Lonchura striata: one gene and its partners. The protein of the gene in region 2 interacts with the protein of the main gene of each other region in a pairwise test. Links are inferred from orthologs where the notes say so. Each region holds a gene or a part of one and is shown on either strand. Other genes may lie near its edges. The genes, in order: NEK6, NECAB2 and CCDC146.

The links.
Region 1: the proteins of NECAB2 (region 2) and NEK6 interact in binary tests that used the Homo sapiens proteins (3 or more experiments, as listed by UniProt). The link is inferred for Lonchura striata from reciprocal best matches to the Homo sapiens genes NECAB2 and NEK6.
Region 3: the proteins of NECAB2 (region 2) and CCDC146 interact in binary tests that used the Homo sapiens proteins (3 or more experiments, as listed by UniProt). The two-hybrid records come from large-scale screens. The link is inferred for Lonchura striata from reciprocal best matches to the Homo sapiens genes NECAB2 and CCDC146.

Annotation. Positions count from the first base shown.
Region 1 is NC_134624.1:10,405,229-10,410,802, reverse strand, and holds the start of NEK6 (serine/threonine-protein kinase Nek6), read right to left. Parts: upstream 3,526-5,574; 5' UTR 3,432-3,525; intron 1-3,431. UniProt on the Homo sapiens protein: Protein kinase which plays an important role in mitotic cell cycle progression. Required for chromosome segregation at metaphase-anaphase transition, robust mitotic spindle formation and cytokinesis.
Region 2 is NC_134615.1:15,038,879-15,044,452, forward strand, and holds the start of NECAB2 (N-terminal EF-hand calcium-binding protein 2), read left to right. Parts: upstream 1-2,421; 5' UTR 2,422-2,474; coding exon 2,475-2,672; intron 2,673-5,574. UniProt on the Homo sapiens protein: May act as a signaling scaffold protein that senses intracellular calcium.
Region 3 is NC_134607.1:61,081,139-61,086,712, reverse strand, and holds the start of CCDC146 (coiled-coil domain-containing protein 146), read right to left. Parts: upstream 3,554-5,574; 5' UTR 3,427-3,553; intron 1-3,426. Other genes in the region: protein FAM185A, read left to right, coding at 3,934-4,300. UniProt on the Homo sapiens protein: Essential for sperm flagellum biogenesis and male fertility.

The DNA of each region.
Region 1 (5,574 bases), on a different chromosome or scaffold from region 2:
CAGCTCGGGAAAGCACCGCCTGCCCTTCCAGCAGCCACAAAGAGCCAAGCCTTCAGCTCTCTTATTTAATCAAGCTCCTTTTGGCTCCTTGGTTCCACAGCAGTTCCCTGAGAGCTGAGCCAGCCTGCAGGATGGGGAATGCCAGCCTGGGAACACCAGGGGAACCCTCCAGCCTGGTGGCAGCAGCTGTGTGCCCTGAGCCCAGCCACTCAGACTGCCGGGTGCTGACACACCGACTCTTCCCCACTGCCCCATCACTGGAGATAAACTGCTCTTGTCTCCTGGAGTGCTCCCTGACCTGCCAGGGAAAGCAGCAGGGCCCTTGCTGAGTACTGGCATGGGCTTGCACTGAAAGCTTTACAAAGGGTGAGTACAATAAACACAGCTTAACAGCATTTGGTAACAGAAAAAACTATTTTCAAGGCCTCTGCCTTCAACAGGACAGTGTTCACTTTGCCCATTTTAGACAACCTTTAACTTCCATGTGATTTTGTACTGGGAAAGGCCACTCTGTCCAGTCCATGGACTGTGGCACAGGCACGGAGCCTCCTCTGCTACCGTGCCTGTCTCACAACCAGGAGCAGAGCAGGTCACCATCCTCTTGCTACATTTTCAGCATCTTCAGTGACAAGTGGTATCAAGGCCATCATAAACTATATTTCAGCTGCATGACTATTTAGGTTTTGCCTTCAATATTACAAGACTTTTTCCTGCATCTTGTATTTATACTGGCTACAACGACACATAACACATAATTTCCTACAAACACCCCAGAAAACACCTGGGGAGGTGTACATTGGGTTAGTCACCACCTGCCATAAAAGGTAAAACAGACTGGTTCAGTGAGTTTCCAAGACAAATGCAGGAGTGTGTGTCATGGGCAGAATGGCCATTCATGACTTCCCGAACCTTAATTCTGTGCTCAGACCATACAAAGCATCAAGACCACTCTCTCTATACAAGTGCTGAGCTGCAGTAAAACTGTGGAAGTTGCAATTAGAAACAGGTTTGCTCAGTGGTGAAGGTGAGCCCAGCTTCTAAAATGAGGTTCCACGTACTTACTGTTCTCATTGCTGAAGATTACCATAAGCAACCTCCTTTGCAACAAGAACCTCTAAGGAAAGCAAGTCAGAATGACAAAAACTAAAGCCCAAGTTGGGCTATTAAATTCATTTTCCCTAAGGACCCATCTAAGCTTTCATTTAGGACAAAGCAAATGTCCTACAAGGCCCAGATTTCCACTTCTGTCATTTTGTTTTTGAAATCTTCCTGCAAGTACTTCCTCTGCTCCTCCAGCCACAGTTCCTTTTTTTCTTGCTTTAAATTCAGACTGAATACATTTGATTTCTCCCACCTGCCCCAGCTGTTGGCTGCTGCAGCCACAGGGGTTGGTCTGTTCTGCCAGGCTGATTGTTGTTATACATTTTTCACAGCCTTGAGGTCAAATATATTTTGCACCACATAAAGGAAGAAAAGATGCTAAAATATATCCACTAATTAATCCTTTACACATCTAGAAAGCTGCAGGTGCTCAGGAAGGGAACTTGTTGGTAACCACCCCCATTTTACAGCTAAGAGAGCAGAGGCAGAGCAGGAGAAAAACCCACATGGGCATTTCTGGCTCCTACCCCCCTTCAAACAAAAATACTCATTTTACTCCAGGTAAACAACAGCTCCTTCAATACACAAAAACCTTTCAAGCCATTGCAAGAACCTTTCAGACCAACAGGTAGGTGTGAATAAAGCCCAAAAACACGCTGCATGAGAAGCCTCAGAATCTCTATTTTCTCCAGTACAGCCTCAATAATCGCAAGAAAAGAGAAAAAGCCAGTGTAGGCTCAGTATTTTCAATGTATAATTCAGTGTTATAGACTGACATAAAACTTTTCAGGCAGGATCATAGAGGGCAAGTACTGCAAAAAAACCTGTTTCCCAATACAGGTTTGGGGTTCAAGTTATTCATCTTCATCTGGTTTTCTCCCAACAAAATGAACAGTGAAGAATTTGAAAAGGTATCTAAAAACATTCCAATTATGCATCCATCCTCTCTCACAAAATACCTATTTGTCAAGAGACAGAATTCCAGAGGAAGGAGGGGGAAATTAATCAAGCAGAAGCAGTTTATATATCACAGGTGTTAAGAAAGCAAAAGTTTGGTTCCACTCTGACAACTCCTTTGGGGTGACAGCAGTCACTCACACTCCATCCAGAATCTCACTTCCCACAGAAGACGCTCTTTTTCCACCATAATAAAAGTTTCTCACAGCTCCCATTTTTTTAGATCTCTACGAGACAGAGCCAGAGGAAACAGGCAGCAACAGTCTTATCTAAAAGCAGTTCCTTCTTTTTTTCTGTTGTTGCTTAACAGAATATGACTGTCACAAAGAATGTCTACAGGAAAAAAAAAAACAGTGGAAAGAGTTTGACTCAATGTCAAGAGATGTCTCAAATGTAAAAGCTGTAGAAATGCTGCAGAAGTTAAATGGTTGCTTACAGTGATTCATAGAAAATGAACTTTTAAAGGAGACACAGAACTGACAGCAAGACAGTCACAACGTGTCAGGAACTTGCATCACTGGACTTCTAATTGCTACAATATTTCCTATCAAACTACTTCTTCTGCAATAATGCCATAGGCAATCACCATGGGCAGAGTTATTCCATGTGTGCGAACAGGCAGACAAACAGATGGGCTCAGAAAGTCACCGTTATTCTAACCAAGCATAAATCACACTTTGGAGGGAAAAGATGGTATTTGATAGTGCAGCTCTACCATGTGCTCTCTCCAAAGCCATGTGCAATCCTCCGGCACGGGGGCTCCCGCGGGGTTCCCTCCTTTGGAGAGAGCGCGGCAGAGCGCGCCCTGGAGAGGCAGCGGGACCGGGGGCTCGCCACGATCGGAGTCAGGAGACCCCAGCGTGAGGCAGCCGGGCAGGGTCTCGGGGCCTCCCGCACACCCCGGGGCTCTCTGCGCCAAGCCCGGGAGCCCCAGCGAGGAGACGAACGAGCACATCCCGGGCTCGGGGGGGCGCGGGGCCGGGAACGGCTCCTCCGGGGAGCGTGAGCTCGGAGCACAGCTGCTGGAACGGAAAAACCCCCCAAGCCTCCCCAGACCTCCGAGCGACACCAGAGCGCGCAAACGCTCGTGTTTGCACCACGGTCCCAACTTCGCTCAAGTCGCAAGGCCGCCGCTCGGCCCGCCCGGCGGCAGCGGGGCTGACCCGCCCGGCGCCGCTCCCGGCCGCTCCCCGCTCCCGCCCGAGCCCCGCCGCCCGGGGCCCCCGCTCCCTCACGGCCCCCGCCGGCCCCGCCGGCGCGCCCGCTCGATCCCCCCGCCGCCCCTCGCTCGGTCCCGCGGCCCAGCCGGGGCCCGCGGCGGGCGGGCACAGCCCCGGCCCGGCCCGGCGGAGCGCGGGGCCCCGTGTGCTCACCTGCGGCGCGGCGGAGGCGCGGCGGTGCCGGCGCGGGGGCGCGGGAGCCCCGCAGGACCGAGCGAGCGGCGCCGCGTCCCGCACGGAACTTGGCCGCGCGCGCGCCCGCCCCGCGCTCCCGCGCACGCGCCGCCGCCGCTCGGGCGCGCGCGCCGCCGCTGCCACGCAGGCCGGGCGGGGGCCGCGCGCGGGGGCGGCGCGTGCGCGCTCGGCGCCACCTGCGACCCGCACCTGGAGCGGCCGCGGGGCTCCGGCACCGGCACCGCCACCGGCACCGGCACCGGCACCGCCACCGCCACCGGCACCGGCTCCAGCTCCACCGGCACCGCCACCGGCACCGGCACCGCCACCGGCTCCGGCACCGGCACCGCCACCGGCTCCGCCACCGGCTCCGGCACCGCCACCGGCACCGGCTCCGCCACCGCCACCGGCTCCGGCACCGGCACCGGCACCGCCACCGGCACCGCCACCGCCACCGCGGCGCTGCCCCCCGGGACGGGGCGCTCGCGACTCTCCCCGCCCCGGCTCCCCGGGCCCGGGATCCCCTCCCGCCGGGGCTGCGGGAGGGCGGCCGGCACCGCTCGGCTCGGAGCGGGACCCCATCGCGGGTCCGGCCCAGGCGTTTCGCAGCCTCGAGCCTCAAGAGCGGCGCAGCCGAGTTCCTGCACCAACCGGCCTGAACGGGTCTGGCTCCAAAATCTATCCAGCTTTTGGGATAGAAAATCCTCAATCTGCAGCTCAAGTCATGTATGAGTAGTCGGCATAAATTGAATTGAACTTGAAATTCAACATGTTTTTTTTTCACAAGTGAACACGACCTTGGCAATAAACACAAACCAAACGAGCGGGTCTCAGCAATGGCCCCTGTGCGGCGGCAGGGCCTGGGACCAAGGCAATTGCTCCTATTTTGTCAACTGTTGTCAGTTTTGTCAGACTTTCGTGGAGATGTTTGCTGGTACGACTGGAAACTCCCAGTGCTGGCACAGCACAGTGCTAACACCAGCGAGCCCCAGAGCAGCTCACAAATGAAACACGCTGTGCCAGCAAAAGCACCTTTGCCGCTGAAACCATTTCCACACAGCCCTTTGCTAGTAAAAATCCTACTTTAAAGTGTTTTTTCTTCTTTTTAATCACTCCTATAGGGCAGACGAGCTGAAGTGCCCTAGCAGTGAGCAAGGAGCCAGTCCCAGCAGGAAGGGGAAGGGCAGCCCAGTGCACCCAGGCTAAGGCCGGGCACCCGCCGTGGGGCCGTGCTCACGGGGCCCTGTCCTGCGGGACAGGACTGGTTTCACCCCGGTGCCCCATGGAGTCCCATGGTGCCCCATGGTGCCCCATGGTGTCCCATGGAGTCCCATGGTGCCCCATGGTGTCCCATGGTGTCCCATGGTGCCCCATGGTGTCCCATGGAGTCCCATGGTGTCCCATGGTGTCCCATGGAGTCCCATGGTGTCCCATGGAGTCCCATGGTGTCCCATGGTGTCCCATGGTGTCCCATGGAGTCCATGGAGTCCCATGGTGTCCCATGGAGTCCCATGGTGCCCCATGGTGTCCCATGGAGTCCCATGGTGCCCCATGGAGTCCATGGTGTCCCATGGAGTCCCATGGTGCCCCATGGTGCCCCATGGTGTCCCATGGTGTCCCATGGAGTCCCATGGTGTCCCATGGTGCCCCATGCCCTGGCCTCGCTGTCCCCCAGTCCCCGCAGGTGTGCTGCAGCTGCCTGCAGCAGGCGGTGGCACACGGTGCCGCCCTGCCCCGCAGCACCGGGGATTTGCTGTGCACGTTCCCCGGAGCAGCGGGAAAGGCCCCACTCTGCATTCTTGCATTCTCTGCCCCATGTTCCCGAACACGCGGCTTCCAAGGAAATGCCTGCAGCCCTCCTGGCGTGTTGCTGCTCTGTCCCCTCTCTCTCGACTGATTGCATCACCTACACCTACACCAGAGCTGTGGGGAACCTGCTGCCCAAAACATTTTGGTTCGAATAAGTCTCTTTTTCCAGCAGACTCCACTTACATACTTCAAAATAATCCTGTGTTTTACAGAAGCAGAAACATGATGGCAGATCTTTGCTCACATGGCTTTTATCCATAGAAACTCATACTTTTAAGAAAACCTTCTTGCTAAAGCAGTGCCACCTCCAGCA
Region 2 (5,574 bases):
TGAGCCTGCCAGAAACTGTAATTAATGCTTGCTGCTTTCCCAGGGATGCACTTTGCCTGCATTTAACTGTGTTTTTTAGTTGCATTCTCTCCCTTCTCTCCTATTAATTCCTGTGCCACTCAGCACCTGCATTATGGATAAAGCTTTCAGGGCAGCCAGTGGCTGCTGGTGTCCTGCTCTCTCCACCTTTAATGAAATGCAGTAAGTGTGCTGGATGCCCATGAGCTGCTGTCTCCTCTTGTCCCTCACCAGTTTGGTTTTTGGTTTCTTCCTCTGGCCCTGGTGGATGGCTGCTTGCTGGGGTCAGTGCCATGGGCAGCAGCACAGGCTGTGGGAGAGGCTGGCAGAGCCCTGATGGCCTGGCTGCAGTTGTGTTTATTTGCACAGCACAGGCAGTGTCCCATCTCCCTTGGCAGGAAGCAGGGGATGAGTTTGGCACACAGAGCTCTGTGCCTCTGCCCCCACCCTTGGCTGTGGTGTGACATGGGCTGGCACCAGCAGAGAGTTCCTTGGTTTCCTCACCTGGCTTCCCACTTTTTCCTCAACTAGAGACTTCAGCCTCACGGCAACTAGGGGATAGCCCTGAGTAATACAGCCCAGTACAAATGGTTGGCTTCTTCCTAACGTCTGAATGGCAGAATTTATTTCTATCTTGATCTGTTTAGTAGGAAAAATGAGTATTTAAATGCCACAGAGCTGGTTTTGACATTACCAAGAACTGTTTTTGACAAAAGCACAGAAATAGCCCCAAACTTCAAATCCAAGTAATGAATCTTCATGGCAAATAGAAAGGAAATTTCAAAGAACCTTATTTCTATATTTATTCACTCAGTAGTTTTAATTAGCAAGCATTTATAGTAATCCTAACCTGGGTGTGATCAATACAGTCTGAACCAGCCATTTAGTGGAGGAATGTCTAAAGGAGAAAGAAGAAGGTGAATAATCTGAGTAATTGTACAAGTACAAAAGAGCAGACTAGCTCTGACCGTGAGAGGCACAGGAGATTGGCACCAGCTCATGGCAAGGAGGGCAAGATGTGTCTTGGCTTGGCTGTGCTTTGCTGTGAGATGTGATTGGGAAATGAGTGATGGTTGGGTTGGACAGTGCTCTGAGCATCCCTGTGAAAGAGCACAGAGCCATTGAAGTGCTCCACAAGCCATCATAAACCCCTGAAATTCCTCAGATTTCCCCCATGAGTTTTGTATTGCTGGAGAAGGAAAGCTTGAAAGGCAAGAGTTTGGTGAAAGAGGGGCTCAGCCCTTGGGTGTCCTAACCTACTGCTAGGCTTCTCTGTGCCTCATTTGTTTAAGAGGCTTCTAAGAGCTTCCAGCTATTTTCCATGTACTTCAGCAGAAAGAGCTGGGCTCCCACTCGCTTTTCTTTGAGCAGCAGCTGAGAGGAAAATGCACATTCCCCACCTGTCACCTCAAACACAGAAAATTCACCCCAATTTACCTGAATAAAGAAGGGTTATTAGAAGAAGCTGCTAAATAATTCCTCCAGGTAGGCTTTTCTGAGGGTCTGGGTTCTGGTGAGCTGCAATGTATAAGCTCTGTTGAGAGAAACAATTGACTACTATTTATTTCACGGAAAGCAGTGGCTGGTCAGGCCCTTTGGAGCAATCCTGCTGCTGGCCAGGTAAGGACTCCCTGTGGGAAGTATGCAGTGTTTGCAGGGGTGCTGGCTCCTGTGACAGAGGTGTTCAAATCTGGGATATGGCCCTGGTAGATCATGAAGTCCTCTAGAGCTGCCTCTGAGGGGGTCTGGCTGCTGCATGTGGGAAAGGTTCTTTGGAGCCTATGGCTACTCCAGAACTCCAGGGAAACCTCCAAGTTTCTGAGTCTGAGCTCTGCTGCTTTGGTGTCTTTCTTTGAACTCAAATTGGGAGCACCTCCTCAGGTGTGGAGAGGAAAATGAAATTATCTTGTGCCATTTTGTCCAGAAGACTTATTGCCTCTACTGCAGGTCTAAATCTCGCTGATTTCGAAGCTGAAACTGAGCACAGGAGTATCTCAAAGAAATGTCCTCATAATACAGAATTACAGAGTCAGGGATATTTTCCATCCGAGCACTGTGCTTAGTGCTGTAGCCACAGATGCTGCAATACCACACCTGGAATTGCTGACTATTCATTGAATAGGGACTTTTTGGAGGAGGGATAGGGATTCAGGGACAAGTTTTATTTACTACCAACAAATTTATTCTCTTCTGCCCTCACAAAGAGCTGCTAAATCTGCTGTGAGTGTAGAGAGGCTGTGGAGGCGAGAGAACACGGTTTTAGTCTTTTTAGACATAAAACACCTAAAAAGGTGCTTTGTGTTGGAGCCGAGGGGGGCTGACCCACCCCCATCCCAAAACTCCCCCGCGGACCCGCCCGCTGCCCGCCGGGCGGTGTGGGAGGAGGAGGAGGAGGAGGAGGAGGAGGAGGAGGAGGAGGAGGGAGTCCCGGCGGCGGGATGAGGCCGGGCTGAGCGATGTGCGAGCAGGCAGCGCGGTACTGCCGGGCCGGGGTGCAGAAGCTGCTGCGGAAGCCGGCGCCGGCGCTGCGCGGGCTGGACGGGCTCCTGCGCTGGGCGGCCGGCAGGATGGGCGACAAGGGCCTCGCCGAGAGGGAGCTGCTCGCCCCGGGCGCCGCCGCCGCCCAGAGGAAGGGCACCTCCGTCATCCTCGATGTGAGTGCTCCCTGCATCCCGCATCCCGGCTCCTGCCTCGGGAGCGGGGATTTCCTCAGCTCCCGGCACTCCCTGGACCCGCCGGGCACGGGCTGAGCCCGGGTCCTGCGATCCCCAGCCGGGTGGGCGTGGGTGTCCCGCAGCCTCTTGCCCGTGTCCCGCACCCGCTGGAGCCCCTCGGGATCGCCTTTATTTCCCGGGTCCAGCATCTGCTGGAGCAGCCGAGCGAGCGGCTGCAGCCCGGTTCTCAGCCTCCCTGCATCCTGCACCCGCGAGCGGCTCGGCATCGGGGCTGTTCCTGGGCTCCTGCATCCCCAGCCGGCTGGGCACGGGATGCAGCCCAGGTCCTGCATCTCCCGGGCCGGCTGGGCACGGGATGCAGCCCAGGTCCTGCATCTCCCCGGGCCGGCTGGGCACGGGATGCAGCCCAGGTCCTGCATCTCCCGGGCTGGCTGGGTGTAAGAGTGCCCAGATTAACAACTTCTTTCCAGATCCTGTGTCCCTGGGCTGCCGAGGGTATGGGGTTGCAGCCCGGGTCTTGCCCCACTTGTCCCGGTGCTGCACATCCTAGTTTGTCGGGGTGGCCTAGGTCCCCGTCCCCCTGCTCTGCACTCTCTGGGACAGCTGGGAAAAAGGTGCACCTTGGTTCTGCATCATCTGGACCGGACCGGGCCGGGCATGGGGGGCAGTCTGGATGCTGCACTTCCTCTCCTGAGCCCTGAGCCTTTTTTTTACCGGATGGGGCATAGAGATGTAGCTTGTATCCTTCTCCTCGCCAGGACTCTGAACTCTCGGGCTGGTGCCCTGGGGTGCCCCATTTCCTGCACCCTCTGGACGGGCTAAGCATGGGGGTCCGCTGCAGGTTCTGCAGCCTTTTCCCAGGTCCTGCATCCCCTCTACCAGCTGGGATGAGGATGTACTGCAGGTCTTTAATCCTGGTTTGGGGGGCTGGTAGGGATGTGCTCAGTGCCTCGATTGCTGTATTTATAGACCTTCTGATTAGGGAGCTACCGAGGCTGCTTGCACTTAAATGAATTGGGAGAATGGGGTGGAATCAGCCAGAGTGCAAATGGTATAATTACAGTCTTTTGGCAGCATCCAGTAATTAAACACATGGATCTGGATCCTCTGTTTTGCTATCTCTTAGCTTAAAAAAAAAAAAAAAATAAAAAGGAAGTAATGAATGCAAAATAAACTACTGAAGCATTGGCTGTAGTAAAGGATAACTCATGCTCTTCTTAGAGGTAGGCTAGGCAGTAGTAGCTCTTCAAGGGAAGCCCTTACATTTTGTAAATAACTTGCTGAACCCGTAGGCATTGGCGTGGGCTGGAGAGTCTGAAACTAGTTCCATCTGTGAGCACCCTGAGATGAATGGCATTTTGGTTCCTTGAGGAAGCACTGTCTCTAGAGGGTTGCCAAAAGCAGCTCAGAGAGCAGGATGGATGGATGGATGATCCTGCCCGTAGAAGGGGCTGGCAGGTGGGCAGCTGCAGTCTGGGGGAGTGAGCTGCCAGGGAAACAAAGGACAAGTGCAACACACACCCCTATGTCTTTTCAGTTAACTTGTTCAGGGGAGAGTTCCTGGGGTTCTTTTTCTATTTTTTTTTAATTATTTTGGTTTGCTTTGGTTTTGGCTTGTTTTGTTTTTTTGTCTGCCCTGAGATTGCCAAAATTTTGCAATAATTTGGAATCTGAGTTTCAGAGCACAAATGCAATTAGGAAACAGCATAAAATTTATGTAAGAGGTTTCTTGAGTTAGGAGTGTTCTGCCACCAAAATGGTATCTTATGCATTCAATTTTACTCTATTTAAGTAATTTCACTTTGAGGTTTGAGCTTAGGAAAAGAGCCATGAACCTTCAGAATGGGAAATACAGTAGAGCATTGTATTCTTTCAGTGGGAAGTACAATAGAGCTGGGTGTGCAGCTCCTAATCATTCTTCCTTTTCACAATGGTACTGGGAGCCCTTTCTCACCTGCTGAAAGTAGAAATGGATTCTGGAAATGTAAGATTTGAGAGCTTAGGGGTTTTTTTCCCTCTTTCCTTAGAACTTGATTTTCTCCTTTTTCTCCAGGCACAATAGCAAAGCAAATTGAAGCTGTGGCTTCGCTGTAATGGGCTCTTCAAGTGCACTGCGAGACCCCCCTTTCACACAAAGGGTTTAAACAGGGAACACCTATTTAGCTTAATTTTCACACATTAGCATGAAAGTAACAAGCATCCCACTGGATGCTCAGCGATGATAACCTGTTTTCCATTTAACTCCTTCACATTTTTGCTGATGGATGTGCTGGGGAAGCAGTGAGTCCCAGCCATGCAGCAGTGTGGTTCTCCATGGGGGAGGATGAAGTAAAAGACCTGTACAATTTTGTTAGCTAACACGTTTCCATGAGCTGGTGTGCTGTGTAGGCAGTTTCTTGGGAGCTGGTGGAGGAGGGGAAAGCTTGGGCTTGGTTATGAGAGAAAATGGCTTTGACGCTAATAGTACCTTAGTCACTTCTTCCTCTTCTGGCTTTCTTTTAATTCATCCATCCCCAGTGTTCTTGTTCCGACTCCTCCATGAGGGTGTCTGGTGTGTCAGAACAAACTTCCCTGTGCTCTTTCCACCAAATAAACACAACTGTGCTGTTGTGGGACAAAACTGAGGGCTGAAGAGGAACAAAACACAACAAGGAGCTAAGATATCTTCTGCCATCAACCTCCTACTTAGAGGATCAATCTTAACTTTGGGCTGGCTTCAGTGCTTTTCTCTTACTTTGCTGCTGGCCTTTTAGGTAAAGGATTAAAAACACTGAGATTGAACAAGGGGTCTGTACCCATCCTGTGCCCACCCTCAGGTGCCTTCTCTGGGTCTGCTCCAGCTGCAAGAGCCCAAGGCTCAGGGCTGGCAGCATGTGCCACC
Region 3 (5,574 bases), on a different chromosome or scaffold from region 2:
CATCTCCTTGAACTCACTCAAAACTTTCAGTATTGGTAAAATCCAGGGGAATAGAGATTTTCATTTTGCCTCAGCATGACATGAGTAACCAGCACTTCTTGTTGTTTTTGAATCTGGCTCCTTGATGTCACCTAGTTCTTTTACTGGATGAGTCACTGAATAATCACAACTTTTCAAGGCCACTAGGTTTGTTCCTAATGTTGAATCATCATTTGACAATTCTTTTTCTAGGCTGAAGCAGACAATCCACCTGCTGTCGCTGGCATGAAAGCCCTTCTCTGCCTTCCACTGTCCTCATCCTTCTCCAAAACCTTTTCAGTTTTACCATATCCTCTTCAAAGAGAAGGGATGAGACCTACAGATAGTAACAGGAGCACCACAGATTTATTCTATCACACAGTGATCCTCTTTCCTCCCCCTACATTTTTTAATGCTTTTTCCCTAATGTTAAAGTAGAAGACCTTCTGTTTTAAACAGGCAGAACCTGTGCTTCAGCATGAACAGATGTGTCTTTAAACAACAAAACCATGCCAACATTAAATGATGCTTGAATTTAAAACTACACCATGTACAATAGGACATTATCAAAGGCATGTGAATCAGAATGGATTGTTTGATTAGACTGCACAACCTCACTTTGGCAAAATGAGAGCACAACATAAACTGTTAACAATTTCTACCTAAACTGCTCAACAACTCCTGTCACAAGTTCTGCTGTTTTCCTTTGTTTTTAAATCTCTGCTATTTGGGATAGGACCACCCTAAGCCACACACAGACTTCATCTGCTGGAGTTCTAATTAGATATGGCTAAGATAAGGAGAATTCGAATGGTAAGATTTACTTCCATTTCACTTCCCATTTCACATGGTTTCCATGAGGAACTTACTTTCCTCAGAAAATTTCTGGTAGCGTGACAAACAAGAAAATCCCTGTAATCCAAACTATTGCATGCTGTGCAATGCTAAAGTACAGAGGAGGAAACAAACAAAACATAATTTGCCTAACTACTGAGCTCTAGACACACATTGAGAACTAAGAAGATTCAAGGAAGCATTTCAGAAATGCACCACTAAAAAAAAAAAAAACAAATACAAATAAAGGTGGCCCTATTTTCCTAAGTAAAGTCACATTATTTCTTCATTAAAATTAGAGCAAATGAGTAAAGTTAATCTTGTCCAGGCAGACTAAGGTTATACTCTGTGGGTACCTGCAGCAGTTTGTAGTTGTTCTGTGATAAATTCCAAATACAAAAGTTGGAAAAATGTATTCCTTCTACAGCCTCTCCTGTAAATACTTCTTATTTAATTCCTCTTTCCTTGAAATGTCTCCCTCACCTCAGCCTAAAAGTGCATCTGATAATGCTTTGGCTTAAAATCTACTTTGTATCACCTTAGAGAACTTCTATGAGTTCTAGAGTTTTTTGATCTTTTGCATAAAATACTGAATATTATTTGGCATACACCATCAATATCTGGCAAAATGGCAAATAAGGATTGTAATTCACTAAGAAATCATGCAGCTATCAAAAGAGTTCTAATTATATTTTCACTTATAAATTTAATGTAACTTTCTTTTCCTGCAAATGACAAGTCAAAAAATGAAAGACAAAAACAAATAAATAAATAAATATTCTTTCCCTAGTGTAGCATGCTACATGCTATACCTACCACTTGATCCAAACAAAAGCATGAAAGTTAAACAGAATTCATATAGCAAAAAATATAGATGACATAAGTAAAACATTAAACACATGAGATTTCATATGTATGGAGAAAGAACTTCTTCCCAGCAATTACTTTTTCTCTGTTTTGTTCAGTATTTTTAACCATGCATGCTTAGACTGTATCAAATGAGAAAACCCAACAGCAACAGTGAAATATAAACATAATTGAGGCTTAAACATCTTGGAACGGTTTCTTGAACTAACTTCTCAACCATGCAAAGCCTGACAATATTAAAGGTGATGCAGTTTACTGCTGATAAGCCTCTGCCTTTGTGAGGAGCAGCAAATACCAAGCTCCTGGAGGAGGAGGGGGCTGTGGGAAAGCAGCACTATCGTTCCAGAGGAGGTGGGAGTCAAGGATCAAGGGCAGCAGCACTGACCCAGAGGGAAAGGGAGGCAGCAGTGAGCCCCGCGGAGTCACCCAGGAGCGGACCACAGAGTTATTTGCTGAACTGGCTGTCATCTAGTGGAGTCATAGCACATTGCAACACACTTCTTACATATCTTTAACTTTCCCCCTGACAAACAATCTGACATCCAAATTTGGTATTGGTCTCAAGGGTGAGAATTTTGTAGCTTTTTTTTTCCCCAAAATCGACTATTTCTGAAGACTTGGGAAAAAAAAAACAAACTTCTAGCCTCTGTCACGTCCCAAGATATTTCTTGACACTTTTTTAGCTTTCTAGAATTCAATTTTTGTGTAGTAGACTATCATAAAACAGGCTAGCCCTTTGTGTGTTTAGCCTAAGGGTGTTTTGAGACTGAGTAATGTAAACCAATGCAATAATTTACCTTGATGGGCTTTATTGGTGAATATGAACCTTCATTAAACTTTCCACAGTGAAAATTACTGATAGACTGAAAAAACAGAGCAATCTTCCTTCTTGTTGGACACTGAGATGTCATTTAATATTCATAAATAATCAAAGCCAGACAATCACAGAAATGGAAATAGGGCTAATGAGATGAAAAGTATTTGATGACTAAGTATCATGCCTTCATGGTTATTTATGAAAAAGAAACACATGGAGTGCAAAAGGGAGACAGAAATTAAGTAACAGGCCCAGATTTCATTATTTCTTGTTTTGCAATCTTGCTAAGACAATGCAGCTTTCTGTGCATTTTTCCCTCTCATTATTGGCAGTAAACAACAACTATTACAAGAATTAAGCCAGATTGTACCTCATCTATTGCCCACATGCCCCACCTAATTTTTAAAAATTGTTATACGATGATAACGTGGGGTATGAAGTCCAGAAGAGTCTTTTAAACTTTTAATTAAGTGCTTCCCTACTTGTTCATAAACCCTGTAACGACAATTGTCTCATGGTGTATTTGCACAGAACTCAGGAAAATATTTGCTTGTCTTCAGAACCGCTAAAAAGCAGTACAACACCTAACACATTGACCAAAATTTAGTGACAGAGAGCAATTACGGTGCTTTGTGATACCACTTCAAAAAACCAACCAACAGAGCCAACAGATGTGTTAGTTTTCCAACACATCTGCCCAACTGCTTCTACCCCGGCTGACCGAGGACATTTCAGCAGCCGCGGGCTCGCTGTAGGCTGCGGCGCCCCGAAGGCCCGGCCGCTCGGGGCGCCTCACGCGCGACACGGCCCCGCCCGGGCCCCGCCCAGGGACCGCACTCCGGACCCTCAGGGCCTCCTCAAACACGGCTGTGGCGGCGCCCTCGACTTACTTCCCGCCTAGACGTCGGAGCCGCGACTTTGCTTTGCTTTGCTTTGCCTCACCCGGCCCCGGCCCGGTCCCGGTCGCGGTCCCGGTCCCCTCGACTCCCCCCGGCCGCCGCAGCGCCCGGCCCGGCCCGGCCGAGCGGCGTCCCCGTCGCTATGGCGACCCGCGCGCGGCCTCCCGCCCGCCTCACCGCCCCCGCTCCCGATTGGCTCCGTGTCCAGCCCCGCCGCCCAATAGCAGCAGACTCTCTGCAATGCCCCGCCCTCCCCGCTCTCCGATAGGCCCGCGGGCACGGCTGTAGTTCCTTCCGCGCGCTGTAGAACTACGGCTCCCAGGAGGCTCCGCGGCGGAGCCACAGCCTGTTTACCGGCCGTGCCGGTGCCGCTCCCCGCGGGCAGCCCCGCCACGTGACCGGCCGGGGGTCACGGCCGCCCGCCGGGAGCGGCCTCGTCCCGTCCCGTCCCGGGCTCTCCTGACGCGGCTCCCGGGCGCTCTCGCCCTGCCGGCGGCAATGAGGGCGCTGCCCCCGCGCTGGGCGGCCCTGGCCGTGCGAGCGGCGGGCGGGCAGTGGGCGCCGCCCGTCCCCCGGCGCGGTCGCAGCGGCCCCGGTCCGCCCCCGCCGCGGGAGTGGGCACTGTCGGTGAGCCCGCGGGGGCGGCTGCGGGTGCGGCTGCCGTGCCAGGTGAGCGTCCGCCCGCTGGACCCGCAGCGCTGCCCGGGCGCGGACCGGGTGCTGGTGGCCGTGAGCGGCGGCAGCCCCGGGCGGGAGCGGGACCCGGTGCGGGTGGAGCACGACGAGGCGCTGGGGCAGGTGGCGATCGTGGCGGACGGCGTGGACAGCAAGGCCGCCGTGGACGTCCGGACGCCGGTGAAGTTCGGTGGGTGCGGGGGAGGCGCACGGATCGCGGGGACCCCACCGGGGCTGGGCTGGGCTGGGCAGGCGCTTCGGCTGACGGCGCTGTGGGGAGCGGCAGAGCGCCCTCGCTAATTCAGACGCCCCGTTCTGAAGCTGTTTGCCGTGTGCCTGCGCTTCCTGCGTTTTGGGCACGCGATTTGTTGCTGGCCCTTTTGCCGCCGGTGGTTCGCGCTGAACTGGAGCTGGTGAGCGGCGCTCGGAGCGTGCGCTGCCGCCGGTGCTCCGCCGCTGCTCCCCGGCCCGGGCTCCGGAGCGCATCCCCGGCGGACCGGGCGCGCCTGCTCCCAGCGCCGGTCCCGCGGCGCCGCGGCAGCCTCCCGCTCCCTCCCAGCCGTGCTCGCTGGCTGGCTGCCGGTCAAAAAAGCCTGCAAGGTAACGGTGCAGATTAAATACCCAGAAGGGCTCCCTTGCTCAGTTCAGTCGTTGCATTATCTTTTGGGCACAGGGTTATTATCTGTGCAGGGTTTCTTCTATGCAACACAATTTGTGAGAGTAGCTAAACCAATAAACATCTCTACTAATCTGACAGTGAAGTTCTGACAGTGGCCCTGAGTTTAGGGAGTACAAACTTGGAGATTTGTGTTCAGTCATTAATGTGGTTTTGGTTTATTTTCCTATGGATTTGGGCAATTTCCTATACAGTGCAGAATGTTTCATCATGCTGGAAAAACTTTTTGATGCACAATGCACATGGTGTGTTGTTTTCTTAAAGTTATTAAAGACGGCTGCTTTATTTCTTTTAATGCCCTGCTGCTGTTGTGATACGAGAAACTATGAATAATCCCACCCTACTTACTCTTCATATATTTAATTTATAACTTTTGCCAAATATGATGTTACATACAGCAAAGATATTCTGCACCTTTTATCTTACCTTTCTTTTTTTCCCACCCTGTGTCTTAGGGAAAATTCTACAATGTTTTTTTTTTTTTTTCCTGTTTTCTGAACTGTATATAATTCAAAATGGAGAAGTCCTATGGGTTTGGCATAACATCATTCTCACATTTTCCAGTCTTACTCATCCCTATAATTTAATTTTTTTAAACACTCCTTATAACTGAAGGGATGTTTCTTAAATACACTTATCACAGCTTAGGGTCTGTTTTGTTTCCTAGCAACTAATATATGCACAAGTATTTTGTAACTAATTACAGAATATTTGTGCATATAATCTCTCCCTTCATGCCCTCAGTGTGCTTTGCTCTGTCAGAATTGTTGTACTGACTCCTACCATGA